Linked DNA regions of Oreochromis niloticus. The protein of the gene in region 1 purifies or fractionates together with the protein of each later gene. This does not show direct contact. Links are inferred from orthologs where the notes say so. Each region holds a gene or a part of one and is shown on either strand. Other genes may lie near its edges.

Evidence for each region.
Region 2: the proteins of zzz3 (region 1) and yeats2 purify together in Homo sapiens (affinity purification with mass spectrometry; 3 studies listed by BioGRID, with this or other methods). This does not show direct contact. The link is inferred for Oreochromis niloticus from reciprocal best matches to the Homo sapiens genes ZZZ3 and YEATS2.

What each region holds. Positions count from the first base shown.
Region 1 is NC_031982.2:25,359,930-25,376,321, forward strand, and holds the start of zzz3 (ZZ-type zinc finger-containing protein 3), read left to right. Parts: upstream 1-8,305; 5' UTR 8,306-8,443; intron 8,444-8,531; exon of another isoform or gene 8,532-8,904; intron 8,905-9,300; exon of another isoform or gene 9,301-9,559; intron 9,560-16,392. Other genes in the region: usp33 (ubiquitin carboxyl-terminal hydrolase 33), read left to right, coding at 299-743, 852-992, 1,181-1,296, 1,568-1,740, 1,863-1,933, 2,031-2,064, 2,165-2,210, 2,323-2,503 and 7 more.
Region 2 is NC_031982.2:14,305,065-14,321,820, reverse strand, and holds the start of yeats2 (YEATS domain-containing protein 2), read left to right. Parts: upstream 1-9,516; 5' UTR 9,517-9,734; intron 9,735-9,801; exon of another isoform or gene 9,802-9,821; intron 9,822-10,129; 5' UTR 10,130-10,135; coding exon 10,136-10,235; intron 10,236-10,356; coding exon 10,357-10,454; intron 10,455-10,583; coding exon 10,584-10,676; intron 10,677-11,646; coding exon 11,647-11,880; intron 11,881-11,960; coding exon 11,961-12,073; intron 12,074-14,033; coding exon 14,034-14,195; intron 14,196-15,510; coding exon 15,511-15,622; intron 15,623-16,756. UniProt on the Homo sapiens protein: Chromatin reader component of the ATAC complex, a complex with histone acetyltransferase activity on histones H3 and H4. YEATS2 specifically recognizes and binds histone H3 crotonylated at 'Lys-27' (H3K27cr).

The DNA.
Region 1 (16,392 bases):
CCCAGCTCCTGTGAGAGGAGAGTTCATTTGGCTTGAAGAGGGAGATTGGATGTCTGAGGTTCATTAACTTTGATTACACATTCATGAGCATTTGGTTTCAGATGTTGTGATCAGAATTGGGACAAACACGGAGGTGAAGTGGTTGTTTTATGTAATTTGGAAGATGTGCTTCACTTTGCCTGTCAAACTCAGTATTATATTGGAGGAATAAATGGTGAGTTTTCCACATGCTAAGGTAACCAAGACAGTAGAATAAATATCTTGCTCTGCTAATATTTTGTGTTTAACTCCACCGTAGGATTCCCAGGAGTTTCTGCGCTGCTTAATGGATCAGCTTCATGAAGAGCTGAAGGAGCAGCTACCCGAGCCCTGCGACCAGTCCCACGGCATCGCAATGGACGACAGTCCCGAGGAGGACAACCATAGCCAGTCGGACAACGACTTCCAGTCATGCGAGTCCTGCGGTAGCAGCGAGAGGGCCGAAAATGAAGTGCAGGGTGGGAATGCGTTGATAGATGACACCAACGAAGCAGAGATGCTGATTCCCGAGCAAGATGAGATTCAGGCCAATAGGGAGTGGCAGAAGGAGAAGAACATGATTAATGACCTGTATCGCTCCGGGACTAATGGCATTACGGGTGGAAGCACTGGAGTGGACATCGACAAAGATGTTGATACCACTACAGAGACCACGCCTATTATTAGCAGCCAGGGAGCCATCAAGGTTCAAGGCAGAGCGTCAGGTAAAAACATGAGATATAGTGGCTCATATTTCACGTGATGACATTATGATATTCACGGCTAAATTTATGACCTTAAGAGTCTCTAAACCTTGGTCTTTTCTCCTTCAGATTGCTTTCCAGATATCCAAATGTCAAACACCACAAGACCACAAAGTCCAGTCCCCATGGAGGGGCACATTCCCAAAATGTCCAGCAGTCCACCCAAAGCTGCCTCTGGCTGGCCCAGTTTGAACCCGGCACACAAGAAAGGTATTAAACTTTGTTTAGCGGCAGCGAGTTCATCTCCATTATGAGAGGCAGTCATACCCAGAATAAGAACTGTAAATATAAAGAGGTTAGCAAGGTAACAGTATCCCAAAACTATCCTTGCTGACTCTTGTGTGAGACATACTGTACTGTATTCTCAAATTTCTCTGCCTCTGTCTGCTTTCCCACAGCAGTGACCACATTCTCTCCGCCAAAGAACAAGCGCCAGAAGAAATATCGCAGCATCATCTCAGACGTGTTCGACGGAACCATTGTCAGCTCAGTACAGTGCCTCACCTGTGATCGGGTTAGTGCTTTTGGTTGTCTTTTTGTTAGATCCGATTGAAATGGTAATGAAAATGCTGAGATGTTGAGCAGCAACAGAGGTGTAGGTAGAAAAAATGCCATTCTGATGATGGGAGGAAAGATTATCTGTGATCACAGTGACATTTTTGCCTTAAGGATAATGCTGCAAAGTGACAGCTCCTGACAAATCCTTGTAAAAAAACAAAACAAAAAACACAAACAAACAAAAAAGCAAAAAAACACATTACGCTTCTACCTTCTGTGGCCGTCAGGTGTCTGTGACCCTGGAGAACTTCCAGGATATCTCGTTGCCCATTCCAGGGAAGGAAGACCTAGCCAAGCTCCACTCATCCACCCACCAAACCTCCCTGGTAAAAGCTGGCTCCTGTGGGGAAGCTTATGCACCACAGGGGTGGATAGCATTTGTCATGGAGTACATCAAGAGGTGTGTCTATAACCCATATGCTGTATTTTTTTTAAATTTATTTTTACATCAGGCAGCAGTCAGTAGCTGCTTTCTGTTTTTGTGTAAAATTCACCTCCTTCTGTGTTTGTTTCTCCTGTTAGTTGGTTCTGGGGTCCAGTGGTTACACTACAAGACTGCCTTGCAGCTTTCTTTGCCAGAGATGAGCTAAAGGGTAAGCGGGTGGGTGGAAAAATATGTTGTGCCAGTATAAACATCAAGAATGATGTCTCAATAATTGTTTGTTTTGTGTTTTTAATTTTTTCCCTTAGGAGATAACATGTACAGTTGTGAAAAATGCAAGAAGTGAGTAATTTATTGCACATTAACTAAAATGAGATCTAAATGGACTGCACCTGCAATGACTGCTCCTCTCATTGATCTTTTTTTCCCTCCACCCTCATAGATTACGAAATGGAGTCAAATTTTGTAAAATGCAAAGTTTGCCAGAGGTAAACTGACATTTCTAGATATTTATATGATGAAGAAATCCAAATATTTATCCAGATTTTCTTCAAATGCCAAGCTTCTGAAATGAGAAATGTTTTCATTCTCCTGCTTCAGATCCTGTGTATTCACTTGAAGCGCTTTAGACACGAACTGATGTTCTCCACCAAGATAAGCACCCATGTGTCATTCCCCCTCGAGGGCCTGGACTTGCAGCCTTTCTTGGCCAAAGACAGCTCCGCCCAGACCACCAGCTACGACCTGCTGTCAGTCATCTGTCATCACGGCACTGCCAGCAGTGAGTGGGCGCAGTCACTCCCTTTTCTGCATGAGACCAGGGCAGCTGCCACCATTTGGCACATACGAGTGTCCTGCATTCATTCCCCTGGAAATAAAATTCACACTTACTTGATAGATTTGTGAATGCTGCTCTAACACATCCCCCTGTCTTCTCCCAGATGGCCACTACATAGCCTATTGCAGGAATGATGTGAACAATCTGTGGTATGAATTTGACGACCAAAGTGTGACTGAGGTGTCTGAAGCCTGTGTCCAGAATGCTGAAGCTTACGTGCTCTTTTATAAGTAAGCCTAGCACACTGTACTTCTATAACTCCTACCTGAACAAATGTAACAACAAGCTCTCATTTATCTCTGTAGCATTTTAAAATTCACTACGCTGCTCAGCTATTAAAAATTGGATCGTACTTTTGCTTATTCATCTAAAATACTGATTAATATTTGATCTGTTTCTGTCCCAGAAAGAGCAATGAGGATGCAGTGAAAGAACGTAGGAGGGTGTCGGGCTTATTCAACATGATGGAGCCCAGCCTTCTGCAGTTCTACATCTCCCGCCAGTGGCTTAACAAGTTCAAGACGTTCGCCGAGCCAGGGCCCATTTCCAATGATGACTTCCTGTGTTTGCATGGAGGTGCGTATGAAAATGTCCGTTCTCCTGCTGAAGCCACTCGGAGGTCAAATTGTCCTTTTCCTCGCCCTGTGTCTGCTTTGTGCAAGACTTTTCGCTTTGACTTTGACACAGCTTTGGCTTTTGTTCTCGCTCTGGATTTCTGATTCTGACAAAGGCATTTCCAACTTCAGAAGAGGGGGGAGGGGTTTCTTCTCTTTGTGAAGATGATCCTTCATTCTGTTTTTAGCAGAGAAAGGAAAAAAGTCCTAAAAGGGTTCATGCGAATGGAAGTGACGTAACTGAAAAATAATTTGTGCAGAACAGAGAATGTGTTTACACACTGTAAATAAGCACCTACAGCTTTCTCCCTCCTGCTTGGTAGTCACCAGCACCTAAGCACATAATAACTGGCTAGTCAGGTACATAAGCATAGATAATATCAGTGCAGTGAAACCATGATTGCTTTGTGGCAGTGCAGCCAGTTGTTTTATTTTGTGTGCAAAGCCAAAAACATCACAGCTTATTTTCACTTTCCTGTTCAAGTGTGCCATGAAAAACACACTAAGCCTCCATCAAGAAGCTCTGGCTGCATGTTTTCCCATGAGGACTTTTTGAAATAAACAGCTGTAAAATGGTGCTGGTGCAGGCATTAAAAAAAACACACTAATTTTTCTTTGAATTGTTCATTGAAGTCAAAGTATCTTAGATTAAAGAAGTGAATTTAAAGAATTTAATTACCTGGTACACTGAGTAATTAAGATCATTTTAGATTTATTTAGGGTTCACACGTCACTTTTCATTATTTGGTTCATTATCTTATCTCGGCTTTCACGTTGCATCAAAATTTCAGTGCTTTTCTGCATGTTCACTTTTTTCCCCCCACATTCTTCAGTATCTGCAGGGTCCTACTGCAAGCCCTTGTTGTTTGCCTTTTAAGATTAGAGGTTCTTAATTAAATTTTGTCTATTATAAATCAATAAGACAAGGGCCAATGAAATATTCAAGAGGGTTGGGGGAGCAGCAGTGTAGATTTTCAGTCTAGGGGAAGCTGCTGCTCATATCTTTCTCACATGTCAAGATGAACTTAAGCTGACAAATGAATTCAAAGAGCTTTATTGCAGCGACATGGAAGGGTTGTTATTTCTTCCTACTCCCACTTCCTTCTTGATCTTGTTGTTTTAAAAGGACTTACTAAAAGTCAACAAACATTTAATTAACCCAGGTCAGCTTTGCTGTATAAATTATTTGTGTAACCTAGCTTAAAGGAGAAGGAAATGAGACCCTATAACCTTTAAGTGTAATAAATAATAAAGCTCCTTACAGGCTTATTCAGCCTATTTGGTTTTTAATAGTTGGATCAAAAGGGAGAGGTGATTTTACAAATCTGGAAATTTAGGAATGAGTTGCCACCGTATCCTGATTTTTAGACTCTTAAACTCAAAAACTCTTTTAGTCCCTAATTAATACAATAAATCAAAGCTCCATCTGGAGCTATAATTGACATTAAACAGTGGGTTTTCACAGGCTGTAATAAATACATCTGAAGTGTTTTTCAAGAAAAAGCCAAAAATTGGAGCGAAACAAACAACTTTGTGGAGATCTAAAAAAATCATCTTTTTCATAGTCTCGCACCCTGCGGGGAATTTAGACATGCAGTTTGGGAAGGAGTTTTAATAACAGGCTCTGGGGGTCTGAAAAAAGGAGAAACTGAAGAATATCTAATGATAGGGGTAGCACAGTTTGAGCAGCGAATTTGACAGAGTTGTGCATAGTTGAGCTTCTTGCCCTGTTTAGCTCACCACTGATCTGTAACCATGCGAGCTGTTGCATTTCATGTAAAATAAAATGTTACACTGCGAGCGTCTGACTGCTGTTTCATTGCGTTTCATCAGGTGTGCCGCCCAACAAAGCCACATTCATCGATGACCTGGTAGTGATGCTGCCACAGAACGTGTGGGATCACCTTTACAGCAGGTACACGCAGTCGACACGGCCGCTTTCAGACTGGCTGGAGGCTTTAAGCATCTTCAGATCCAGCGATTCCTTTGGCTGAAGTAACGTGTGAGCTTGTATGTACTGTTTCCCGCAGGTACGGAGGGGGACCGGCTGTCAACCACCTGTATGTCTGCCACACGTGCCAGACTGAGATAGAAAAGCTGGAGAAAAGGCGTAAGCAAGAGCTGGACATGTTTGTCAGGGTAAGCACCCACCCACTCCTCACCTCACCTGAAAAGCCGTCCAAGCAGCGGCTTTATTTAGATAGTTAAAAATTGGTTTGTGTGTGTGTGTGTGTGTGTGTTTTAATACATGGTGTGTCAGTGCAGCCAGGACTCACAGGTGTGTATAGGCCCCTTTTCTTCAGTCTATTTAGCCAGTTGATAGGCTGCATGTGTTGATGCTGTTCGCCCCGGCAGGAGATGAGAGGTGCAAGCCGGATGAAAGCCTTATCATTAATGCATTGGGACAGATGCAGCTGTTATTGCCTGCTCGGTGTGCCCACTCACACAATAGCTGCTCAGAAGAGAGATAACTGTGTGTGTGTAAGACTGAGCTAAAAAGGAAGAACAAGGAATGTGTCATTTTTTTTCTTTTTCCAAGAGAGACAGAACTGGTGCAGTGTGGTTTTAAGATTGTCTTCTAATTGGAGTAACTAGCAGAGAGAATTGATTTGGTTTTCCATTTCCTCTCAATCCTTTCATCCTTACTTTTTTCCTTTTTTGTCCCCTATCCCATCCCACTTACCCCTCCTCTTTCCCCTCCCCACCCCTTTGCGTCCTCCCTCTTGTCTCTACCTCTCACTCCACCCCCACTTCCTCTCTTCCTCTCTCCGGGTCCTTCTGCTCCCTCTGTAGCTGAACAAGGCGTTCCAGGAGGAGGAGTCTCCAGTGGTCATATACTGCATCAGCATGCAGTGGTTTCGTGAGTGGGAGGGCTTTGTCAAAGGAAAAGACAATGGTAATTGGACAGAGGTCTTGCCTTTCCATTCCCCCACCCCACCCCCTAGTCCTGTTTAAATGTCTGATTAAAAAGGTTAAATGTTTTCCATGCGATTTATCATGGAGAGACCGAGTTTCTGGAACAAACTGCCAGTCTATACATTTTCATCGACGTATGGGGGGGAAAAAAGGCAAATAGATTTTTTTTCTTTTTTTTCCCTATAGAAAATCAAAATTCTCAGGTTATTACAAACAGCTCATTTTCAAAAGAAACTGTGGAGTCCCTGTTCCTTCTTTTGATTTTTCTTCAAAGAATTCGCTTTAGTCCCCCGAGTCGGGTTTCTATCCTGCTCCAGCAAAATGAAGCGTCAAAATGCATTTCATTGGTGTTCCACTTGTCCTCATATTTTTTTCTTTTTGCTTCCCCTACTTTGTATTGTCACATCTATTTATAACAGCTTGCATCTGGCACGCCTGTAAATTGTCTTTTTTTTTTTTCTTTCTCTTGACTTCTGCTCCTCTAATATTTGTCTTCTCTCTGTAGCGAATGGGGAGCAGATATTGCTTTTTTGTAGTGTGACAAAAGCATTTGACATTTTAACATCATTGCTCTTTGATACAGTTAGGATATGAGAATATAACTCGGTTACTGATGTATGTAATTTCACAACTAATTTTCTTTTCTTCGTCTTTTTCAAGACCCACCGGGACCTATCGACAATTCAAAGATAACAGTAAACAAGAACGGCCATTTAACACTCAAACAAGGTACAAGCAAGGTTTTTAAGTTGTAATTCTGTTTCTTCTGCTTTAGTAGGAAATGTATGTCTGAATATTTTATTATGGATTTTTAAAAAGCATCAAACAAGTCTTGCAGAGATGCTGTGGACTGTAGAGCTGTTTTTCCCGTTGCTGACGTTTACGATGTATACGTTTGTGATTGCACCGACCCTACAGGAGCAGATTCAGGACAGATCTCTGAGGAAACGTGGAACTTCCTCCACTCCATCTACGGCGGTGGTCCGCTGCTGACGGTTCGACCGAACATCAGCCACCAGGAAGTAGAGTCGTCGCAATCAGAGGAGAAGATCGAGGTGGAGACTCGCTCCGTTTAATCAAGCACTTGACAATACACCACAACAACATCGAAAACGTTTAAGAAATGGAAAGCCTTTTATTTTGCACTTGACTTTTTGTTTCAAAAGCATCCAAGCAAAGGACCTCATCTTTACTCCTGCGTGACAGCCTTTGACAGAGGGAATGAACTGAAAAGGGTCGTCATGTTGTACAAATCTGTATAAAAAGCTCTTAAATTTCTATTAGCACTGTAGTACTCATGTTTCAGGTTTTCAGAACCAAGCATTTAAAATATGTGCAGCTAAAAGAAATTCCACTGAATGCCATATTGGTTTTTTTTCTTTGACCAAATGAGCACATGTTCTATGTCCATGTGTCTTGTGTTGCCGATACTGATGAATCACAATACATCTTGCTGTAGATATATCACATATTTTTTATTTCCTGTTGTATTATTCACTAAATGACAAGGAAAGCAAAATGTGACACTTGGGCTATGAAGGGACTAATTGCTGACTAGTCTCAGGAATGAATTTTGTGTTTTGCACTGTTCTGTAGAAGTACAAATTGGCATGCTCACACAGATGTCTGGTTTGTATTTGAATGTACCAGTACTAATAGTATGTTGGTCAAGACTCAGCACTTGGTTATTTATAACAGAAGGGAGTGATTTAACATGATGTCAATAGATTATTATTATCGTTTTTTTTTTTTTTTTTTTTTGAAACGTGGCAGGCAGACTTTTTAAGAATGCATGCTCCGAACATTAAAATCCTAGTTGAACATCACATGTAAGTGCATGTAAATGCAAAGCTGCTCATGATATGTGCACGCAAATCCAGATCTGTCTTCACTAAAACTGTACAGCTGCAGAAAGCACATTGTAGTAATGTAATCAGCATCATAATGAGCAATCTGATTCATTAAAGGCATTATTTTTGTGTATGGGCATAGTGTTGCTTAAATGTGTTGGCTGATTAGGGAGTCAACAAAATGCTGTACTCAAAGTTTTTGCATATGAGTAAGATCTATTCTGATTTTTGCTGGCTGACACTATTAAAACTTGATGAAAACATGTTGAATGCTGTGCCCTTCCTTAATTGTGTCACTCTTAAACTGCATGTTGTTTCTCCTTAAAGTGTCAATAAGCCATAAATTAGGAAATGTTGCAGAGTGAGAGTGAGAGGCACTCTAAAAATGTACAGGATAGTGTTGCATTTTGACGAGAGAGCGCTTGCTGCTCACACACCCCGACTAGTTGACTGGATTGAAAACATGGCTGCGGCCGAGCGTGCAGCAAATTTACGGAAGTGAGGTATGTCTAATTCTTAAGCTACAAAAGCTGTTTAGAAGTGTGCGTCCAGTTCGTTGCTTGTGGTGGAGCAAACGACAGAAACTGAATTTATTAGCCCACTCAAAATGTGTGTGACCGCCATTGCTGGCAGTACACAAATACATCGGCAAAGTTATGCGCGGAACAATCAGCTAGCTCGGCAAGCTAATGCCAGGTTGCTGCGGCTAGCCTCGGCTGCTAGCTGGTTACCAAGTGCTTGGTTGCTAATCATGCTACTTCTCAGTGCTGGACATATAAACCTCGGCGAAAACGTGTTAGCGGCGATTTCTTCCATCTACGTGCTGTCTTATTTGTGGCTTTAACGCCCCTGACTGATGTCGCGCTAGCTAGCATGTGCTAGGTGTCAGTAATAGAGGGGCTTCATCAGGAATCGCCACGATTCTTCTCTTAACGGGAAAACTAGCCGAGGAGAACTAGCACAGGTAACGTTAGCTAACTTGGCTAACTAGTCGAGCACAACAGAAAGAGGGGAAAAATGTTCGGTTAGACTGCAGCACACTTGTCCGTTGAGTGTCACAGGGAGCGTGTATAATAATTTAGAATTTAATTCTGCTGGTGCCACAGTCTGCGGCTTGGTGTCTCAAGTGTTAATATATATATATATATTTTAATTAAACCCCGAGAGCTAACGGTAAGTTAGTTTTGTATGGTTAGCCCGCTAAACGGCATGCTAGGTCAACTAAGGTCTGCTTGGAAGTTGGAGCATGCTAACGTTTAGCTCATTCGCAAGCTCCCCGTGAAATAACTGGGTTGTTTCTGTCCAGACGTGTGGTCGTGAGTTTTAATCGTGAACTTTTTTTTTTTGCTGCAAAAACTAGTGTTCAACTCAGCCGGCTGGCACGTGCTGCTGCTGTTGCTGCGCCGCCGTCCAGTCTCGTCAGTTTAAACAGCATCCTCGTGCCTCCCAACTTCGTGGGCTTGGAGCTCGCGGCAGTTGATTTAGCTGGGATGTAGGGATTTGAGCGATTCTCATCGGAATGTGCACCAGCACCACTTCGCGGATGTTTGGTTGCCAGTAGGCCCAGTGGAAGTGCTGAACTTCAGGTCGGCAGCGGAGATGATGAGCCCAGCAGGACGGTAAAACGGCACAGAGCTCGTTTATTTATCGGAAAACACATGCATCATACCAAACTCTGTTACCCACATTTAGATTAGCTGGTTTCCTAACAGTTGACTTTTCTTGTGAGTTGCGTGTTTATTATTAGTGCACAGTTTTGGGAGTTTACAGGCTTGCTATCTTAGTGAAAGCAGTGCTTCTTTATGTGATGGCAAATGAGACATCTGTCACGACAGTGCAGGCAAAAAAACACCACGTGTTAACATAACTCTACAACCAAACAAGCGCTTTAGAGAGGGGCAGGAAGTGGGTTGATTTGAGAGTACAGTAACACATGGGTCCTTTAATTACATACAATGTCTTTCACACTCAAAATCTTTGCTTATGCTCTGGATATCTGCGAGTACAAGTTGGTCTTGGTGTGTCAAGATCGGTGACTGTACATTGCAATGTGGTGTTAGTACTGTAAAGAACACTGTCACACCTTAATGTGGTAAATTGGCAGCTGTGGGTTTAATGGTTGGTGTGTTTCTAGAAAGATCAAGAGATTAATAAATCTTATTTCATGGAGAAGAGTACATCACAGTTAAATGTTTATATAGGAAGCAAACATGAATCCCAAGCATGTATCCTTGGCTGAGTCTACTCTCTCATATACTAGAAGGAGAAAATGCAAATTAACCAAAACAGTGTCTTCTTGTGACTCTTAGTCTGATATAATGGTTGTAGTGCTGGTATGACTTATGAGCAGTTTGGTGATAAACCACTCTGACTAATGTATCATCTTTTTTTTGGGGGGGGGGTTAGACGGTATAAAAGCTCCAAGCATCCTATAAAAGAAAAGTAAACAACATCAGAATCCAGCTTAACAGCACATCAGAGTTTGCTTTTCCTAACTTAGACAATCAGGCTAAGAAGTCACATAAAATTGGTTATTAACTTGATCAGTCTACTCGAGGTTTCCCAGTCTAGCCGTGTGTGTTCACATGAAAGAGGCAGCAGCGTCTGACCAGCCACAAACATGGACAGGTCTGCTGTCAGCACAGGGAGTGATTTTTATATTAATAAAGTCTAGCCTAATTGAAGCATGGAAGGTAAGTTGGAAAAATAGTAACTGTGTAAGTTAATAGGGACATCAGCATTGCGGCTCTTTCATCAACACATGTGAAATTCTAACAGATTACTTCCATTAAATTCTTATTTAGACATGCAGGAAAGGAAAGTTAAGGAAAGCAGGAAAGTTATAGCCGCCTCTGTGGTGTTTAACTGTTAAAGAGCAAAATAAAATACAAAATAAATATAATAACATAAATTCAATGTACGCCCCTCCTTCCCAGATTTTTTTTTTTTTTAAGGTTAATAAGTACAAGTTGGTGTTCTATATCAGGATCATATAATTAAGGCTTATAGAGCAATAGAATCATTTAACAGTTGCAGCAAGGAGGAAAAAAGCATGACTAAAGCTGATTCTGGTAACTCATATTTCTTATTGATTCTTATCAGGGCTCTTGAAAAACTTAAGACCCTCGGACTATCTTTACCCTGTGGTCTCAGGTTTCTTCCATGAATGGTGATCCTATTTTCTGTAGAATCTATTTGTCAGTATGTGGTGATTTTACACACGCTCATCCGTAATCTCCAACAAAACCTGCTTCCAAGCAGGTTTGGTCTGCAGCAAAGTTAACACGGTGATGTACCCTGGGGAACGACAGACATTTTAAGCTTTAATATGTTTACATATGGCTGAGTAGCCTAATTTATAAAGTATTGCAGAATTTATAGATTTCCGTTTTGGTTCAGTAGGTGCTAACAAAACCTCTAAAATAAATGTTAGGAGCTATAGGCTGCACCACGGAAGCAAACACTGCCCGTTTGCTTCTTGGGGTGTGTGTAGAAGCTGCAGCACCACCATAATTTACACCTGTGTTATAATTACTGTTTTCATCAACCTTTTTACTAAGAAAAGAAGCACTTTTTGGAATGAACCTTATATAATTTTAACCTTGAAATGCATTTTAGCTTGTGCGCAATTCTATTTTTAGTTGAAAATGTGTGAATGTTCAGTCTGCTTCCCTGTCGTAGCCGCCTTCAGTGTTTTCCTGTGGCACTAACAAGCTCTGCATTCTTTTAATAGCTTCATATGCTTCCTTTAATATTAAACTTTTATATCAGTGACTCCCAATTAGTTTGCCTTGAGGCAAATCCAGGTGTGCCTTGGGATTTTATGTCAACTATATTGTAACTGCATGGTGCTTTTCACACTAAAAAGCAATTATCTAAAACATAGGTGTCTTGTAGTTGCAGATGCTGAAAAAGTGTTATCTGGAGTGCTGTCATCTGACAGTATTCAACTTAAAAGACAACTGGAGAAAGTAGAGATGGCATGAAGGCTTGCCTTTTGGTGTGACTTGGTCATAAAATGTTTGAAAGCCACTGTTTTAGACTACAAGGTGGAAATACTGACATTAAGAAAAAAAGATGGACAATCGAATGTTTGCTTCATCCATTTTGCTGTGATGGAAGCACTCAAATGGACCAGCAGCTGACTAATCAGCTATATTTACTGGCCCCAGGCCATAGAGCCATTGGTTATGTTGAACCCTGCAACATAAACAATCTGTGAATTTCTGTCTCCTTTAAATCTCTTTATATTTGCTAGGTTTGTAATTACTGGTCTAAACTGTTTTTATATTTTTAGAGAAAGAGTTTCTGGATAGGCTGCAGGCTGTGTTTTCTTATGGAGCAGCACATACCTGGAGTACTATACCCACAGAACTGAGGAACATACTTTTATAAATTAGTGTTTCCCAAATAATCAAAAATGCTGTCATAATATGAAGTGGTGTCATTGTAACGGTGACACCGCCTCTGGTTCAGTAGTCATGTTCGTGTTCTTTTGTGTCTGTGCTGTTTTGTAAATGGTCTTTAATGTTTTTTTAATATGTTATATGGTAACATCTTTTATAATTCAAATAATTGTTGCTCTTTTCTGTTTATTTTTATTTGCTCTCTCTAAATGCAGTTATCCTGCTTGGTACTGCAGATGAAAATGAAACAAGCCGTCTAAATGTGTCTCATTTGCTCACGTTAATGTCCCTTTTAAATAAAATAAACAAACCTTAACTTGCACAGTGTTTATACTTTAGGAAATCACTGTTGTGGCGAGTAGTTTAATGCCTGCTAACTACAGGCTCCAAGGCCAAGGAGAGTCATGTCATTGAAGGTGTTTAATCAGAATCAGAGAGACTTTATTTATCCCCAAATCCTGTAGTTAATATTTGCAACTCCAGAACGCCTTCGTCTTTACCTACTCTGTAACAGTCTGGATGTGAAAATATGCAAACCACGTTATTTTATGACATTCCAGTCAGTCCAGTCCAGTGCACTTCTGTCAGGCATGTCTGACTGTGGTTTGAACCTGATGTTGGGCAGGGTAGTCAGATTTACAATGTAATGACGACTTTAATTTAATAACTGTGAAATCTGGTACCTGAATGCAACATTGGGCTTAATCTTAACTATTAAGATAGGCCTTGCGAGTTAAGCCAGGAACGTGTTAATTATTAGGAACGTGGAAGTGTGATCAAATGTTTTATAAAGTTATTCAGCCCAGCTGTAGCACTAATTATTTTTGATGTAGTGATTAGCTTTCCTAGTTTTTGGGAGCAGGTCAGATGAGCTGGCTTAATTAGTTTTGTCGTGTTGAGTCAAAGGGTGAGTGCTCTGTCTGAAAAAACCTGCTCCTCCTGCTCCCCGTTTTCTGCTTTTCTTTCTTTTATTTTATGCATGGACAAATCACATTAGTTTTCTCAGCTGGGCTCTTTAGCAGAGTGTGAGTAATATGTGCATGTGGTAGTGTTCGTTTCAGGTGACTATTGTTAGCTCCCTGAAGGAGTATTATCAAAATGTATTTGTAGCCGGAGTAGCCTGTGTGACTTTGATGGTGCTGTGTTAGCACAGTGTGGGAAAAGGGAGGGACTGTCCGAGTGGGAGACAAGGAGCTTTTAAATCAGTTTTGACAGAGGTCAGCTCACAGTTTGATGTACTGGGAATTAATGTAAATGAGCACCTCGTCCATGGCGCTAATTGATGCGATTTGTCTTGTCCCTAATATATGGCTACTACTGTTTCTCATCATCTATAAAAGGACATCCAGTGAGATCATCCGTTGCTGAATGTCACTTTAATATGACCTCTAGCATGTTGTGTTTTTATTGTCCTTGTGGGTAGATTTATTAGTTGGACCATGATGTAGAGGATGTGTCAGCAGCAAGTTTACTGGGGACTAATTGTCTTCTAACTGGAGCAGGAACGTTACAATCTCCCTTTCATTAGCTGCATCTTTCTGTGGGCAAAGATAACTTGATTATTAATACTTTGTACTTAGAGTAAGGTATTTCTGTATTTTTTTTTTTTTTTTTTGTTCAAATTTGTTGATTGTGGAGTTAATTGACTTATTTTGTTTTAATAACTTTGTAAGACAACATAATCTAGTGTAAACTGTTATTGTAATTACAATTTGAATGCTCCTTCGTTGTTGTTGTTTTTAATGCTTCCATGACTTTTGTTATATATATATGAGAGAGAAATTGTATTAATTTGTTTCCATGATCTTAATGCAATATGCTGCATAAAAAAAAAAAAAATAATAATAATGCTGAGAGAAACAAGAACTAGTTGTCTATATGTGTGCATTTATTAGAGATGCAGTGATCCAGTTTTTTGTATTGCTGATTCAATAGTCATACTTTGGCTTTGGGTCTCTGCTGATATCAATGTTAAATTAAAACGATGTTCTGCTTGAGGAAGAGGCTGGGAATCATTCTTTATGTTTAATATAACATCAGGCTCGACTCAACCATTATTTTCCTAACTTACTAATAGTGGCACGAGTTTCTCCTTTTCCCTCCTCATGTTGCAATCACCTGTGGAAAAAATAGTGGTTGGAGACTACAGCATGACTAAAATTATTGCAACTGTGGGCAATGAACTTCTGATCTTGCTGCCGTGGAATTGGTTGCTTCAAAGATGATGATGACATCTGCAACCACTCACAGTTGATTGCAGTCTTCAAAGCAACTTTACTAAATCAAAATGATGATAAAAGAGCAACAAGATGGATTTGGTCTGCTATAAGTTTGCGAATGAATTGGGTCAAGTTGGCATTTATGTGAAATCTGTTTGAGACAATACAACAATTCACTATGATAAATTGGTGAAAATAGCAAATCCGTTGCCATCTATATACAGAGAAATTCACTTTAAAAATCATCCAGGATCTCATAGATTTAAAACACGTTAATAAATACCTCTACAAATTGTGACATAGTTGCTGTGGGATGGCAATTTAACTGCAAAATGACATAGGTGATTGGCAGTCTTGCTTTTATGTAGGGATACGATCAGACTACAACCAGTTAAGTTTTGCCCATTAGTGCAGATTGACTCAGACTGATTGCAATGTATCGGCAATCTGTCTGCATTTATGAACTGTATGACAGTCTGCTAGGGTCCACGTGAAATTTTGTAATTTACATTATAATGCACCAACTATCCATGTGCACCAGGTGGTGAACTTGAAAGAAGGATGACAGGAATGAATACTTGGCTGTCGGGTCTCCAGTTTTCCGTGTCTGCACTGTAGTCTGTTTGAGAGTGATTGCAGTCAGTCCGAGTCAGACGATGATTTGTTTGGAGATAGGTTACCTGTGTAATCGACTTGCAGTCATAAGGGATTGCCTAGAGGTTAAGGTAAAAAAGTGTTTGGACAAATGTGCGTAACTGGGTGTATAAAGCAGTTTGAGTGCTCAAGTAGAGTAGAAAGGCACTGTATAAGAACCAGCTCATTTACCATTTAGTTGCAGATGAGTTTCTATTGTATTTTCAATATAGTGCGGGTCAGCCATCACCCACACAAATGGATCACATCATGACAAGAGAGAGGTGAAGACAAATATTAATCAAGATGATTTGAGAACATGACTTTTTCTTGTATATGGAGGAAAAAAATGGGTAGACTTTAGGAAGACACTTTGGCTCATGTGTAATATTACATGTGTAATAACTACTAACGGTACCATGAACTATGTATTCGTGGTGCTGCTTTTCAGTGGTTTAGGTCTTACCTGGTTGAGAGAACGTTTTGTGTCAGTCCTTTGGATTTCAGATCATCCTCAGCTTTAGTTTCATGTGGGGTACCACAGGGATCAATATTTGGACCTCTGCTTTTCTCTCTATACACCCCCCCCCTTGACTCTATTTTTAAAAGGCATAAAATTGCTTTCCATTTACATGCAGATGATGGTTTATATGCCCCCCCCCCAAAAAAAAAATAAAAATAAAAAATTGACTACTTCATACAAGCGCTAAATGACTGCGTGGTCCTCGCTACACTGGCTGCCTGTCCTTTTAGGAGTTCATTTTAAAATTCGTTAATTTGTTTTTAAAGCCTTAAATAGTGTATAAAATTAAATAAAGTTGTTTTTAAATACACACTACCTCTCTGAGCTACAGCACCTTCTGCTTAAGCTATTTGGTAAAGAATTGAGGTATCAAAGACTGGCTTAATTTCCCAGTTCACAATATATAAACCAAGATTTCTTGTAACTCACACTGGTCTGTCTTGATCTGCAGAATAACTTAGTGACACAAAGAGCGAACATTGGGAGGCTTTATTGTGCCTCCAGTTGTATCAGGATGTTTATTGTCAAACCCTATGTAGAATTTTTGTTCCCAGGGGATTTTAATTTTTGTATGTTGTGATAAGTTTTAGAAGGATAGCAGCCTGTTGGCACACCTGTTATGAAGAGATAAATGGCCTGCAGTGTATGATGACAAAACATATGTCTGCAGT
Region 2 (16,756 bases), about 11 Mb from region 1:
ACATCTATTATATGTTTGACCCTCTCTCTGTCAGTCTCTCTCAGACACATACACTCACACTCTTTCGCTCTTTCTATTTATACGCTCGTGTTTTTATCCCCCTGCTGCAGTTGTTCTGTGTTTCTCTTGCTGTAACTTGCTGTATCTTACCTCAGCACATGTTAAGGAAGCTGTTAATCATTTAACCAGCGGCTCAGCACTTAAATATGGTCATAAAACTAGCGTGCATGTTCAGTGACTTGCAATTGTGTCTGCAGAGTTAAGGATTTTGTTTAGCTCAGCATATTTTTATGACAGCTGCATACTTTAGGTCAGTATTTGCTGTCTGCGCTGCCATTATGTCCTAGTATTGACAGACTTAGATTTTCATAGTGTATTAAAAGCTGGTGTCTTATTAAAAGAGTGCAGAGTGGCAAGGGTGCAAATACAGTGATCCAGTGCCCCACCCCCACTCCTTTCCACTACCTTCTTTAAACAATCTTGTGTCTGGATATCTTCAATGGCTCTTTAAAGCGCCAGCCCACCACAATTACATAAGTAAGAAAAAGATCCTTTACATTTGTTGCTGATATTACTGTGGGCGACTTTAAGGTGTGTATCTAGTTTTACATGTGACTGGATTGAAATTGTTGTTAATACAAATAGAGAGGAGGAAAAAAACAGCTCACCAAAACCAGTAGTTTAAAAAAATCCTTTCTAAACAACTCCTTGCACTTGATTATCTTTATCTCTCAGTAGCCTGTTTTCTTCTTTATCGCTCTTTGCTTCTCTCACGTCTCTCACTTTTAGGAAAAAACCACCCACATTTACAGTTTATCAGCTGTATCAACATTAATTATTAAAAATAAACAAATTGCAGTTGGCCTGCATGCCCACAGTCTTATTCAGTGAGTTACAATGTGGCAGCTGCTCGCCACCAACTGTCAGCTCAGTTATGCGTTTCTGTCACTGAAAATACACGAATGCAGACAGAGACAATACTGCTTTGTAACCGCACGAGTTGTAAACAAGAATAGGGATTGTCGGTTTTTCAGTTGGAAAAACAGTAGTGCTATTCAGCATTAGCCGGGCGTTTAATGCTAATAACCATGTGTCCCATCAGCTTCCGTCTTTTTGTTCCTCTTCTTTCCCTCCATCTTTCTTTGTTCCTCTCTCTCCTGTTTTCCTCTTTTTCTTGTCTGTACTTATTTATGTTTCCTATTTTGCAGAGAGGCAGGAACAGCCCGAAGGTTTTCTCTTGCATAACACTGCACTTGTAACCAGTAATGCTCCTCACTGTTTTCTTGACACGTGAGCCCTTTACAGAGGATGTCATAAGCATAACTGAAAAATACATCTGTGTCTTTCACAAAGTTTCACAAAACCCTGTTCTTTTTTTTTCTTTGACGGTCTTATTTGTGCCTTATCATCTCAATATTTATCCTGCTGTGATTTTTTTATAGTAGTTTATAATATAGTTTATGCATAGTGATTGCCAGATTTGCTTCATCAGGCAGAATAACGGTGTGGAAATTCAGGCTGTAACAAGTATGCTTTCAAGTTCAGACGTTCGTAGTTATGACCATTTTATGTTAAAAGGTGAACAGATGAGCTGGGCTTTGCAGTAAGGAAACTGATAATTGAGCCTATTCAGAAGAAGCACGTCATCAACACTCTGCTCCTGATGAACTGGTTTTCTAAAAGCTGACATAGAAGCTATTGTTCACGTTCATAAAGTAGTGAACTTGAACGCAAAACATCTTTTTGCTGTGAATAATTTTGTTTCTCTAGGCTTGACATTTCTCTTACTTTTAATTTTGGCCCCTCATCTGATCCTCGTACATTTGTGTGTCTGTCCTCAGGTTTATGCTGTGGGTGGTTATGATGGACAGAGCCGCCTGAGCAGTGTGGAGTGTTATGACTCCTTCTCTAACCGCTGGACAGAAGTGGCTCCCATGAAAGAAGCAGTCAGCTCTCCAGCTGTGGCCAGCTGTGCTGGAAAGCTCTTTGTCATTGGAGGAGGGCCTGACGATGAAACTTGTTCAGACAAGGTGATAAACTGTTTTTCAGCACCCACACACTCAAGCACATAGTGATGGCAGCTAAGCTGCTCTCAGTGTCAAATAACTTGTTTTCATAATTACAGGTGTGCAATGGAAGTTCAAAATCCTGTTTTGTTTTGCTTTTTTTCAAGCTCCTTTACGTCACACAACATAAAACATAATATATGTACAGGCCTCATAGTTCTCGGTCACTGCATGATTTATATAAAGTTCAGATTTTCCCCTTTTTCCTGAATTGAGTTAAAGAGAAGGCTTAAGTAGCAATCATTTCTTACCAAGCATTTTAGCTTTCATAAAGTTGGAGTACAAAATCTGTTAAACACTCACTGATGGTTTTACGTAGGTAACAAGTACGTCCTGTTTAGTCAGGTTGGTCCTGATTTATCTTGTTTCAGTTTGTTAATTGTATCCAGGCTATTATTTCGATGGAATGCTGTAATTGTACAGTATTTCAGGTTTTATTTCATAGCATTTACTCATAGGAGTAAAACTACAGCAGCTTAACATGCTGACATATTCAGAAATGTTACAGTAAGGAGAAAAATACAGTAGCACATGATGACTGACCATTTGTTAGGTAATAATAGCGATAACTTACTTAAGGATTAGGTCATTTGTCATCTGTCACGCTACTATGTGAAACAGATAGCCTCAGAGTTTGGATTTAACAAGTACCTTGGAATCGTTTCAGTATGTTTTGAATGACAGGCCACATTGTTGGTAGTAAACAGGAAGACACTGGCTTTCTTAGGAATCTAAAGTTCCAACGAAGCAGTTTTTTTTACGTACGTGAAATAGCTGGCATATTTGTTTATGTCTATGCAGAGTAGAAAAAACACATTGATGGGCAGAGGGGCAGCCTGATAAGACTAAGAGCCGATGCTGACTCCAGATTTTTGATCTACTCATCTCTTGGGTCTGCTAACAGGGTCATTTAGATCGGTCCCAAAGGTCCTAATCTGTCTCAGCGAGACCCTGTGCACAATGAGAGTCGTTAGAGACCAAACTTTTTGGGGTGAGGCTATTTTAAAGATAAGTGGGTGAGAGAATGTTTGGATTGTATGCAAAACCACACAGAGACATACTTAATGTCAACCCACAGAAGAGTCAGTAACCACCGAATGGGCTTTACATATTTTAGTTGTTACTGCTTTTACAGCTGTTTTCCCAACACCTGGTATAGATTTTTTTTTTTAAGATAAAGAAAGATAAAGTTGAACCTTTCATCATTGTAAAACACCACTATGTTTAAACTTATGTCACAGGTTCAGTGCTATGATCCAGAGACAGACTCCTGGTTGCTGCGTGCCAGCATCCCCATTGCCAAGCGTTGTATCTCAGCAGTATCTCTCAACAATCTGATCTATGTGTGCGGCGGTCTCACAAAGTCAATTTACTGCTACGACCCTGCAGAGGACTACTGGATGCATGTGGCTCAGACCTTCAACAAACAGGTTACTATCAAACACAGACGCTGAGTGCCCGAATCCACAAACTGGCTTTAGCCATAAGAATATGAAAAGTTCTACACTTTGACGATGCACCCTTTAATTTCTGTCTTTCTTTAACTGCAGGAGAGCTGTGGCATGTCAGTGTGTAACGGAAAAATCTACATCCTCGGTGGCAGGGGGGAAAACGGCGAAGCCACAGACACCGTCCTGTGTTACGACCCAGCAACAGGCATCATGACGGGAGCATCCTCTATGCCTCGAGCCATCTCCTACCACGGCTGCGTAACCATCCATCGTTACAATGACAAATACTTCAAGTCGTGACCATGAACAGAGTCGCACACACAGACACTCTCTCAACATGAGAGCAAACACTAAAGAACTCTTCAAGTACTCATACACATACACAGCACACAAAAACTAACCACACCCCGTTTTTTTGTTTTTTGTTTTTTTAATAAGAGGCACATTTAATAGTTCAAACCACAGTGTCAGTGAGCTAATTTATTTCCTCACAGCATCATGTAGCAAGACTCGTTGTGGTGCTGTGAATCTTTTGTTGTCTTAATAGCCTTTCTGTGGAAATGCTCAGAAGCTGATAACACTAATGGCTTTTCTGCAACCAGAGATAAAGTGGAACCAGATCAGCATGAGAGATGTGCTTTTGTATTGGTAGTTTGAGGAAAATCAGTCTTAAATCTAGAGATCAGATTAAACTACAAGCTCATTTACTCACCTTTTCACATAGTGTTCTATGAATAGATTGACACGTGTTAAAATATTTAATTTTGAGGTGAGCTCAAAAAGTCATTAAGTGAAAACAAAGGGTGGTACTCCCAATTACATTATTGAGTTTTTGCCAGCACTCATTTGTCATACTCACAAACCATCAATATTAAAAAAATGTAACTTCCCAGCACTCTGCTTTCATTGCTGTGCAAAGTATAACCTCAAGATTTAGGTCACTGATGATTAATGAGAGTTCTGATGAGCAAAAAACAACACTAAAAATATCTGGCGAGAGCCAACAGTTGTCTCTGGAGAAACAAAAATATATCCAAAAATACTGATCTGAGTGACCAGGTCGGATTACTCACCTCGTCCTCCCTGCACTCACGCAGTTTGTCTCATACAGTAAAGTTATGCCAAGCTCTGGTAAAGAACATAATAATGAACTGTGCTCTGTTTTTTTTTTTTACCTCTTCTCCAATACTGAAAATGACTTGATAGAAATGTGGTAAGCAGTCAGCCAGCTGCTCTCCCACAGTATCATCTGTCATAAATACGGAGCTCTTTCACCCCTCAACCCAGAGCCGAGTTAAGAGAAGAGGTAAAGAGCAGAAGCTGTGAAAACATTGGACTCTAGCCACTGTTGGCTCTTCCCTTGTGTTTCCTTTTTTTTCCCATGTCATCACCACTCACCATTAAGTTCCACTTCCCATATGTGTGTTTCTCTTCCTGCGCTCCACCTGTGTCATCACCTCACTTTTTACAGTCAGCCTTGCTAATGCCTTCTAAGCTGTATATTTTGCTCCTTTTTAATTATTATTATTTCACTCATTATTGCCTTTTTTTGGTAAGTTATATTTATCCGTGCCTATTTTTTTATAATTGGATGTTTATTGTATGATAAGTAGTTAGGTCGACGTTAATCCATCGGTGTACTGGGCTTGTGGGGTGGTTTTGTGGATGTGAAGCCTTTTGTGGATCAAACTTGTAGACTGCTCTGAATAAATGGTGTGCATGTCTGGTGTGTGTGTGTGTGTCTGTGTGTGTGTGTGTGTGTGTGTGTGTCTGTGTGTGTGTAAGGATATTGTGTGACTTTTACTGCTTGGTCTGGATGCTTTGGGAGCCACGCAGGTTTATCACAGAGTTGTCGTGCAATGCTGCCACATCTCACCTGTACACTTACATGTAAAGATGTAACTCGGGGTAACCATAGATACCTCCAGGTGTGTATGCGTGTATGTGTGTTGAATGGTCAGCTAAGGTGGCGGGTGCGGCAGTGCTGGCCCTCACACCGTTGGCGGGTTTAAGAGTTGAATGATGAGGATTTTGGATGGTGTGGCTCTTGGTCAGTAAAAGTCACCTTTTAATACAATTGGTGTTGATAGATTGCTGTGAATATACAGTTAACTTTGTTTTCTTTAACTTGTATTTAAATGTATCTTTGTATCCTTATTTGCATAATATGTTCTCTTGAGAGCCCCAATTGTGCACTTTGACAGAATCCTGTTAAATGTAGAACTTTATGACAATGATTTCCTTTTTTACTGTATCAGTAAATGTTCTTTGCTTTCATGTGACGTATAGAAAAGAGAGTGAAAAGGGCCTGTCAGCTCCTCCTGTTGGCCACTGCCTCCTACGCTTTGATGCGCTGAAAAAACCAGCAAATATTGCTGCAAAGGAGGCAGTGTCGTCATAACAGTTTCAGTTTTCAAATTTTAGGGATTTTTGAATTTGTCACTCAGCACCATTACGTAATATCCTTTAAGAACAGCTCAGGTCATACTTCACCTGTCAGGTATGATAACAAAAATATGTAGGGGGAAGTTGTTGGTTTTTTTACATAAACATTCTTCACATTCCTCCAAATGGAGGTCAGGTTAAGGAGCAGTACAGGTGGAAAAATGAAGCACCTCCTGATTCACCTGCTTGCAGAAGTCAGGAGGAGCGACGGGTTGAGTTGGGGGGCAGGAAAGCGGAAAGGCAGAAGCATGGGAGTGAGAAAGTGAGAATCTGAGTGTGTGTGCGTCTGTGATTTCACTGAGTATTTACTCTTAAGTAGGGCACAAACTCATGTTGTGCTGATTTATTGATTTTCATTAATGTCTTTCATGTATTATTGACTTCTGATAAGAATATCCATCGTTTTGTTTTTTTGTGTGTGTACTGTTTTGTTTTGTTTTTAAATCTTTTGCTTGTTGTGGTGAGTTGTGGGATCGCGTGTTGCTGAGAACATAAAAAGGACGTGCAGCAGATTACACCCAAAAAACCTGAGGGTTACAAGTTGCTCACCAGAGTTAAATATTAACACAGATAAGAGCCACATTTGAGACAATCCTGAAGTCAGTCTTGTTGGAAAAGCACCACCTGTGCCTTGCCTTGATGTCAAGAGATGTAACCCCTTAAGTGCTGCCCTATGTGCCTTAACCAGAGATTAACGAGTGAGCAATTACATCAGATAATTGTGATATACACTGCTATTATTGTGTGCATGATGTGTGATACTTTTACAACACTTTTCTTGTGCTCTTTGTTTTTTAAAAAAAAGCTTTCAATTTTTGTAAAATGCAGTATGTTGAATTGTAATGGTTGAGTTGTTTATGAGAAACGTCAATAAAGTTTTTCTTAATGTATCAAAGCTTTGCTGTGACTCATCATTGTTAACAAATGAAAGTCTACAAGAAAACAGTGATGCACCTGTTCAGATGCTCATTAATGCAAATTCCTGCTGTGATAGCCTCAGTGTCTCGCTCTTAGCTGACAGGAGTGTCACCTGGTGCGGTCTTCTGCTGCTGTAGCCCATCTACTTCCAGATAGGGCGTGTTGTGCATTCAGAGATGCTCTTCTGCAGCCTGTGATTGTTAACAGGTGATGATTTGAGTTATTGTTGCCTTCCCGTCATCTTCAAGGTTTATGGCCATTGTCCTCTGACATCGACGAGGCCTTTTTGCTCAGAGAGCTGCCGCTCACTGGATATTTTCTGTTTTTTGGACCTTTCTCTGTAAACACCAGAGATGACTGTGTGGGGAAATCTCAGTAGATCAGCGGTTTCTGAAATACTTATTCCTTTCTTGAACTTCAGCAGCTCATTCATGGCAAAACGCATTGAATTGCTGCCATGTTAGGCTGATTAGATATTTGCATTAGGTAATGAGCAGCTGAACAGGTGTAACTGACAAAGTGGCCACTAAGTAAATTGTCAAACATGTTCATTACATTGAGGATCGTCTTCATGCCAGCAGTGGAGGTAACTCCTCCAAGAGAAGATATCCTGATTTTTATGTTCCCTTCTCAAACAAAATATAAAGTTTTCACTCAGTTTTACAGAAATCAGAAGGCTGAGATGAAAAGCGATTCTTGTGGTCAGTGTGACGCATGCGATAAATGTGCCCCGAGAAGTTGTGCTTTTTCTCAATCAAGCGATCGTGAGCACATCCGTTTTCACAACAGACCAGCCATAAAACGAATGGAAACAAAGTGATTTATGTATTTCATCGAAACCACAACTATTGTCCCACAAATATCCATGAAGATGTCACAAAAGAAGAGATGCGCCATTTGGGTTTTGTTGCAAGTTGTAGCAATCTGCTCCACAGAGCTGTGGACACTGTATTCACCAAGGGATGAGTCAATCACGCTGGTGATGTTTTAATGAGTCATTGTGCTGAACAAGGGGACAGTGTTTAAAAGCAGCCGCACTTTTTAAAGTAGGATTGAGCAACCCATGCTTTATTATCAGGCCCTTTTTATTTAAGTCTCATGTGATTTATATTCTCCATATTATGCTTTGGTTTAATGAAAACCACAAAGAATCCTCTCACAGATTCTTACCATCTCGCTACATTTACACCAAACATTATGGGAAAAATTGAAGCCATGCCTTACCCATACATCTGTGTTCTGATTTATGCAAAGAGCTCATCAGGGACATGCATTCTCAGACAGGATAATGCTATACAGTACATTAATCAGCTGTGATTATAAGATTTTTGGCACTGACAGCATGCTGTCACCTCAGTTATCCAGCTGAGTGCCAGCTACTATAAATTACTGAGGATGCCAACTCTGTGGTACAGCTGCAGGCCTGATCTGGTTTGAGTAAAATGCTAGGTTCTTGGCCCTGGCAGGAAAGGGCCAGAGGTTGGAGTAGTGCTGCAGCTCTCAGCCCACCTGCTCACCCACTGAGCTAAAGAGACATCCATATTAATTAAAACTTGACTGGAAAATACTGCAACTAGAGGCACATTTACACACTCACATGTGCACATCTCCAGGTCTCTCTTGGAAATGAGATTTTTAATCTCAAGTGAGATTTTGACCTGGATCAATAAAGGACTAATAATAATTTTAAAAAAAAGTCCAGGTCTCCAAAAATCCCCATTTCAAAATACATGAAAAGCTGAAAGGAGTGTTTTGTTGTTTTGATTAATGTACTTAGAATATGTAAATTGATCAACTGATGGCGGTTAAATCATGAGGTTAAAGTATCAGTATCGAATTTCATGTTGGTATCGACAATACTGGCGCTGTATTTACTTCGGATCCACAGGAAATTTAACAGGATGTTGTTTGATCTTCTTCTCTGCTTCATTAAAAGGAAATGTGAACGTGATAGGACAATTCATTGCAAGAGAGCAGCAAAGTAATGTGTAACACTGAAAAGGTGCCCATAGGTGTAGAAGTTATAGAAAAGGTTTGTTTGGAGTGGCTTTCTAGCAACACCTGTTTTCTGTTTAATTGCCTTTAGAATCACATGTTTACTGTGTAACTGATGTCTGATGAAGTGTGAAGCTCCGCTTAAGCTAAATAAGATGAACTGATCCCCTTCTTGTCTGGTGTTGTTTGCCTTCTAATTCGTGGCATGCAGCCTGTCAGCGGTTACAAGCTTAAACATGTTAGACTAATAGTAACCTATGATAGTTAGAATATCGCATGCTCATACACGGGGTTACTCAACTCTGTAATGTAATGTAATACCTCCAAAGAGTTCCACTGAATCAGACACAAAAAAAACTTCCTGCAGTGATAACACTGGAGTAAAATCCCCGTAAAGTTCTTTAGAATAGACCATGATGGCTGGTTGTAATGAAGTTTGACAGGTATGCATGCCATCTTCACCGCTGTTTATGAATATCTTGTCAGAGTAGTTAGTTTACTAAGGGCTTGTAAGACGGGTTACGCTGTTGATCACGACAATAAAACATCCTTTCCAGGGAAGCAATCTTCTGAAAGGTGACAATACCTATCATTCCACGCCTCGTTTTCAATCAACTTGGTAGAACAGCGGTCCCTTGTGGCTGTTTGGCTAAACTGCAAGGCTAACTATCCACTATTTAGTTAGCTTACTTGTAGAGCTCGAGATTTAGCAATTCCCTAAACACGAGTGTGGTCTGAGTATACTAAAAACGCAACGGATATGCTCACGTTGAATTAAAAAAACACACGCCTTTCAAAGAAACGTTGCTCCACATCACAGAGTACTCCTGAAAATTTGCATTTTGTACAGCCTGAACCGGTATGTATGTACAACTGTGTGCTAACGTTAGCTAAATTAGCAAGGTTAGCGGTTGCTAACGTCAGAGAACTGTTGGCTGTATGGACGGTATGTGTATATTTATTTATCATATCGGTGGTGAGACACACTAAAATGCGATGTGCATTCTTGTTAAATGAATCTTAGACAATTGGTCGACAGTTTGAAATAGCTTGGTAGGTAGTGGACAGCCTGCTAACTCATGTTGGCATACCTGTTTGGCTAATCAGTACTGAGGTTAGCTGTGGGCATTGCTGTCAATTATCTATAGCTTCCCTGCTATGCAGCTAATTCTGTGCTAAGTGCATAGCAAATCATGTACATCACAGCATATAAGTGATTAGCTACACGTTTTCTAATTATAGCCTTCTTTACAGGAAGCCATGTCGGGAATTAAAAGGAAGATAGAGGGCAATGATCCCGACTATGAGGACGTTTCTCTGGTCCAAAACAGTAAGAGAAACAAGGCGGCTGAACATAGTGGTAAGTTCATGCTCTGAACCCTGAGCCAGTACACTTGCTTTGCTTGTTGTGGTCAAAATTAGCTATCAGTTGTGCCCTGGTCTTGTAGATATGTTCATTCCCTCTTCCCTATTTTATCCAGCTCGAGAAGCAACAGTTCAGAAGATTGAAACCATCATCAAGGAGCAATTTTCTTTGGAGATGAAGAACAAAGAGCATGAGATAGATGTGATAAGTCAGGTATTCAGATGATACTTTCTTTTAAATCTGTATTTTACTTGTTACTGCATAAAAACTTAACATGGACAATAACTTGGAGTTAAGTGTAATATTCAGCATGCCGGCTCACTGTTTTTCTTTGCTTTGCAGCGTCTTAATGAAGCCAGGAGGATGATGGACAAGCTCAGGGCATGCATAGTAGCTAATTACTATGCCAGTGCTGGACTGACAAAGCTCTCAGAGGTAAATTCCCATTCATTTGGACACAGAGTTTGATGATACAGCCTCAAAATTATATGATGATATTTGAAGAAAATTTGCAAGAAAAATATTTCTGACAGCGCAGGAAAAAATATACCAAACAACATTTTATTGATGTTTGCAGGTTGCAGCATTTATAGGTGTAGTGAGTTAAAGGTATTTTGTATTATGCTATTCTAATGAGCTGCAGTCATTGTTGGCAATCTTAGTAATTTAAAGTATTTATCTTGTGAAACAGGTTGCCGGCATCAGCATTGTAGTGCAATAGTAGCGGTACACAGCAAGTCAAATGTACACACAACAGTAGCCCTAGCTATTGTTTCCCCTGGGAAGTAAAAAATATAAAATAACACTTTAACTGAACAGTTGTTAAACTAACTTAACTATGTAAATCTTAATATTCTTTTCCACCTGGGATGTTGTTTCTTATGTAGAGCTTTTTCACCAGTTGCTTAAATCACTGTGTTTGTACTGATGCATCCACATTTTTATCTAATCCCCCCCTGTTTGCTTTTCCTGTCATCTGGAGTGCATCTAGCGTGTGAATCAGTGATGCTTGGTGGAGTCTTTTGTTGACATTTAGGTTGCACATCAGCAGCTCTTAGTATCTCCTCCTGTGTAGCCTGGTTGTACTTTATGGTGTTTATTTGCTTCAAGTGGTGAAACACATTTGTAGCTTCCACCTTCAGCTGGAACAGTTTCCTTGCATGTTTTGAAAAATATTGTCCTTTTGTTCAAGGTTGTTGAAATAGATCCCTTTTTAGGTACTAAATTGGCTCCTTAACAGGAACATATCCCGACTGGTCTCATTGTGCCATGCACTATGGATCATAAACAAATGGCATAAAACTTTATAGTGGTGTTATTGCAGACAGTAATAGCCAGCTGTCTGCTGCTCTATGTGGTAGTACAGTATAGAAACACTGACCTAAATTTCTTCTATGTTCCATAGCATACCTCCAAGAGCGACCCTGCTGTGCTGAACCATCCGGCCATCCGACGCTTCCTGGAGTCTCCTTCCCGTTCTTCTTCCCCTCTCAACCAGGGCTCCGAGACTCCATCGTTGGTCCAATCAGAGTCTGAGTCTCTCTCACAGCAAGGAGACGGTGCTGAGAGGAATGGAGAAGGAGCCTGGAGAGAGGAGAGCAGCAGGCAGGAGCGCAGACCCGGACGCAACACAGGCAAAGTAAGTTCAGCTGGCAGAAATTGTGGGTTTTTTGACCTTTTGATGATCGGTGACTAAAAGCGTTGCCTTTGTTGCTGTAGGACACATTCGGTGTGCCGTCGTCTGCAGAGCAGAGAGTGACCTACCACACTACTGGAGACGATGCATCTAGACTTTATGCGAAGAAGACAATCGTAGTGGGAAATGTATCCAAGTACGTAACCAAATTAAAAAATGTCTGTCATTTCTTTGTGACTGATTCAGTAAAAGAACTAGATCTTACAATCCCTGATAATGCATTGGTTCAAATGGAGAAAGTCTTGAGGGATGGCTGTTACGAGGAAAGGCAGCCCAGAAATTTTACCAGCTAGACACATTGTTGTGTGCCTCAACTTTACAGGGTGTTTCGGTCTTTTACCCAGGCTAATCTGCCATTTTTCCTTCCTTGGTTAGGTTTAGGGATTAGAGATCTGATCTAGATTATCATATTAAAAATTTGGGACACATCGTCAGTAGTGGACCTTGGATTCATCGGGTGTTTCGGCCATTATCACTAGACACCCTCATCCAAGGAGGCCCTGCCAGGGTTGATCAGGCCCTGGCTTATGTTAAATTGTTATTTCTCTTTTATGTTATTTCTTTGGTGACTAATTACATTGTAACAGACTTTTCAGATTAGAGGTCAGAATCTTCTTAGTAACTGTAAAAGGTTTAAATTAACAACTACAAGACAAAAAGTTTGAATCTCACAGCATTAAAGTTAATCTTTTCATCAAGCTCAAAATTTAGAATTTAACTTTTTAGAAGTAGAGAACAAGTGAAAAGAAAGTGTTGTTTGAAATAGATACTCTTTACGTAGGTACGGAGTAGCCTGGTGTTTTGTCTTAGTATTTCAGAAAGACACTGAAATTTTGAGAATAAATTACATGTAAAAATTTTTAATAAGAAAGTCACTTAAGCTTTGGGCAGGTATTATAGAAAAGGCTGCCCGCCTGCATTCACTATTTTTTTTCATTTTTAATCAGTCTTGGAGGAAAACACTAAATGCGATGGACTTGCATTTAGCCTACTGCATGTCTCTTATTTTGAAAGTTCAGTTGTCATTCATATATCACTCAGATATAATACAAATCGACCATCTTGAACCGCAGCTGGTTTAGGGTTCATGTGCAGGATCAGAAACTAAGTAGAAAGAGAGCTGATTTTATTCATTATCGGCTCAACATTAGAAGAACTGCAGCAGTCGGGGTTGGTTTTTCTTATTTTATTCAGTCAGCTGAATTTGTCTCATGCATGATTGTGCGCTGAAGAGATGAGCCACAAATCAGTTTTCCTACAAGTGTGGTCTTGAAGAAGATTGAGAATAAATTTTACCTAATTTATTTTCCCCCTGGGCGCACAGTTTTCTGTTCCTCAAGACCGTACAGGTAAAACTACACTCAGTTAATAATGCGTTGGGATCCCACCTGCCATGATACTCATGAGCACGTTGACCCCAGACCCCATATAAATAGGATACTCACTTTTTAATTGTACTTTATTACGTAACGTTTTAGCGCTTATGGGTCAGACCACACCTGTTGTGTAACCTGGCCTTCATTTTTGTGTTAGCCACACGCCTGTAGAGTTTCGTGACTGCATTTTGTAAAGTAATGAGGCTTTTGTTTTGACAACTGGGCGCCTACCATTCGTCAAAGGTGGGTTTTTTTTGTTCCAGTATGGCACACACGGACTCAAGCTGAAAAGGGTGCCAGCGATACTCATCATTAATGAAGCAAATATTAAGTAGAGAAAACTTTATTGAGATACTTATTCAGCACACTTAATATTGTAGTACATGTTTATTAATCAGAAAGCATTTGATCAGATGAGATTTTAAGTTCCTCCAGGCTTCCAACCGGTGTATGATTTAAGACAGAAACTTTTTTATGACAGAAAATTATTAAAGCGGTGTTGAAATTAGTCATGTAGCACCTCCTTGTCTGTCTCCCCTTTCCAAATATTTTGTAAAAATTTAAAGAAAAAAAAAAACACCTCTTCATTTTCAGTCTCACTTTACCTCCCTACTCTTCATCTTGGGTGGTGTTTAACTCTTCTGTAAACCATCTATGCATTACCTCAATCCAATGTTTTCACTACCTCTGAGGTTTTTCTTCTTTGTTTATTATTCTCAGGTACATTCCACCTGATAAGCGGGAAGAGAATGACCAGTCTACTCATAAGTGGATGGTGTATGTCAGAGGCTCAAGGAGAGAACCTAGCATCAACCACTTTGTCAAGAAAGTTTGGTTTTTTCTGCATCCCAGCTACAAACCCAACGACCTCGTGGAAGTCAGGTTTGGGCCAGTTTTAGTGAAATGTGTATTGAAGTGTTTTTAAGCAGTCATGCAGTTTCATGTAGTGATGTTGCAGAATAAAATAAGTTAGAAAGAATTTAATTAAAGAGAAGAAGAAGGAAGACAAAAAGAAACTTAAAAGATAATAAAAGATTTGTTCTTGCAGTGTTTCGTAGCTCTTAGATAGAATATTTACTTCTAACTTTGTATTGTCGTGATAAGTAAGTCCTTTAATCCACCTTTTTCCAAGCAACACTTGCCAAAACTGCAAGAATTATACAAACAATATTACATAATAATTCACTTTTCACTGTCAGCTCGGTGAAAATCCTTTAGATCAACTTTTACCAAACACTGCCCCCTTGTGCAGGTTTGGTGATGCAGCGCATTCATCCCCTATCAGTCTCATCGCTTTGTAGAAAATCAATATTTGTCTTACCAAGCAGTAATCACTTCAGCAAAATCTTACAGCTTGTTAGTTTTTAGGAAAATTAAAAGATGACAAATTTGTTATTCAGATTGTACACACATCATTAGGCAACGTCATTTGCTGCACAGCGAGTCAGCCTAGAACTCAACGTCAACAGGACTAATAGCAGGCACACCTAAGTGGTACAGACTTGCCCTAGCCTGAAGCAGATAGGTGTATAGATGAGCGTCACACACTTAATTTAGAAATCATTCACAAGCAACAGAGGTTAGGTAACCTTGAAATATGTACTTAAAATGTCTAATTGTTGGCATTACCCTCTAAAAATGGCTCAGGATTTAAGGTTGCCTGCAGCTTCTGAATAAATGATCTCTCTCATCAGTCAGCAGTCCTTATCCTGAGCTGTAGCCTCCCAGCTGTTTGAGCTGACAAAGTGCTCACGTTGCTGTTGCAGCAGCTCACAAGCTCCCCCCACGTAACCCAAACCTTCACTCCCAGTGAGCCCTACGCTGATGCTCTCTGCTGACTCCCAGCACAGCCTGACTGTAGATGAAGGGATGAAGTGAAGTGGAAAAAAAACACTTGCTTCACTTATAGGTTGCGCTTCAATATACACATGATACGCAGGCACATACACATAGCCTTGCAGTCAGATCAATGTCTGTTATGTTGGGATGAGAATGTCAAGCTTCAAAGGCGGAGAACATGTGAGTTTTTCAAGTCATTGATTTTTAGGAGATTCTTAACTCAGTACAGGCTAGAAAACAGATTTTTTTTAAACAAAGGCATAGTGATGCATCTTTAATACATATATTTTTTTCATCCTGACTTATATTTGAATTTTAACAGTGTTGCATAAGGCAGTTCAAATGTGTCTGTTCTCAGTGAGCCTCCCTTTCATTTAACGCGTCGCGGTTGGGGTGAGTTTCCTGTGAGGATCCAGATTCACTTTAAAGACCCTCGCAACAAACGTATTGACATCATCCACCAGCTAAAGGTCAGAATACTTTATAGAGCACATCATCATTCACTTTGCTTTTCTCGTTAGATGAGGCCTCTTTGTTTTCCCATATGCCAGTTATCAGAGCCTATTGTAGACAAGCCAGTGGGTCTGTGATATACTCTGAGACTTTTCTGACTTCTACTGCTGGTAAATTTCACATATGTGTAAAGTGTACAGGATTTAGGCAGGAAACTTAAAAGGATTACATATGTTCACATCAGTATTTTATTTTTTGACAAATACACAATATTTGCAGATTTTGCTTCTGGACACCACCACAGTGGATTTAAATTCAAACAGTCAGTGTGTGATTGAAGTGCAGACTGTCAGCTTTAACTCAAGGGGATTTCCAAAGATATTGCATTAGCAGTTTAAGAATTACAGTCATTTTTATCCACAGTCCCTCAGAAAGAGGAAGACTCTGAAAGAACTGCACAACTGACTGACAAGCAGTTTTATGACCTGTCCCCTTATTTTGTTAATGAAAAAGGGAGCAGATATAATATCTGAAGTTGATTTAAAGTGTTGAAATTGTATTTTATAGCTTTTCAGTGAGGGAGCCTATCATCAGGCTGGAAAAACAAAAGAAAACAACAATAAAACAAACCGATTAGAAAGATGGCAAAAATCCCAAAATCTATCATTTAAAGGTGGTGAACTGATTTGCATGATACATCATTATTACATGATAACAATATCACATAAGAAAGTAAATAAAACTCTTGAAGAGGTAGATGTATCATTTTCAACATCTAAAATCAAGACATGCATGTAGGGTTTACAACAAGCTGTAAACCACTGGTTATACTCAGGGACAAGAAGTCCAGACTAGACTCCGCTAGAAAAAAATTCAAAGAGCCTGCACTGTTCTGTAAACAATTCTGTGGATGAAATGAAAAATATGGAGAAGGAGAGCAACAACTCATGATCTGAAGCATACCAAATTACCTGCTGATAGAAGTAACAGGTTGAATTCTGTGTACAGGGCTATGCTCTCTGCTCACATTCAGACAAATACTGCAGAACTCATCAGACAGCATTTTGACAAAATGCTGTCTGATGAGACCCAAAAGAGCAAGCAGCACAAGTTTCTCAAGGCAAAGAAAATTTTTTACTTTTAATGGCCAA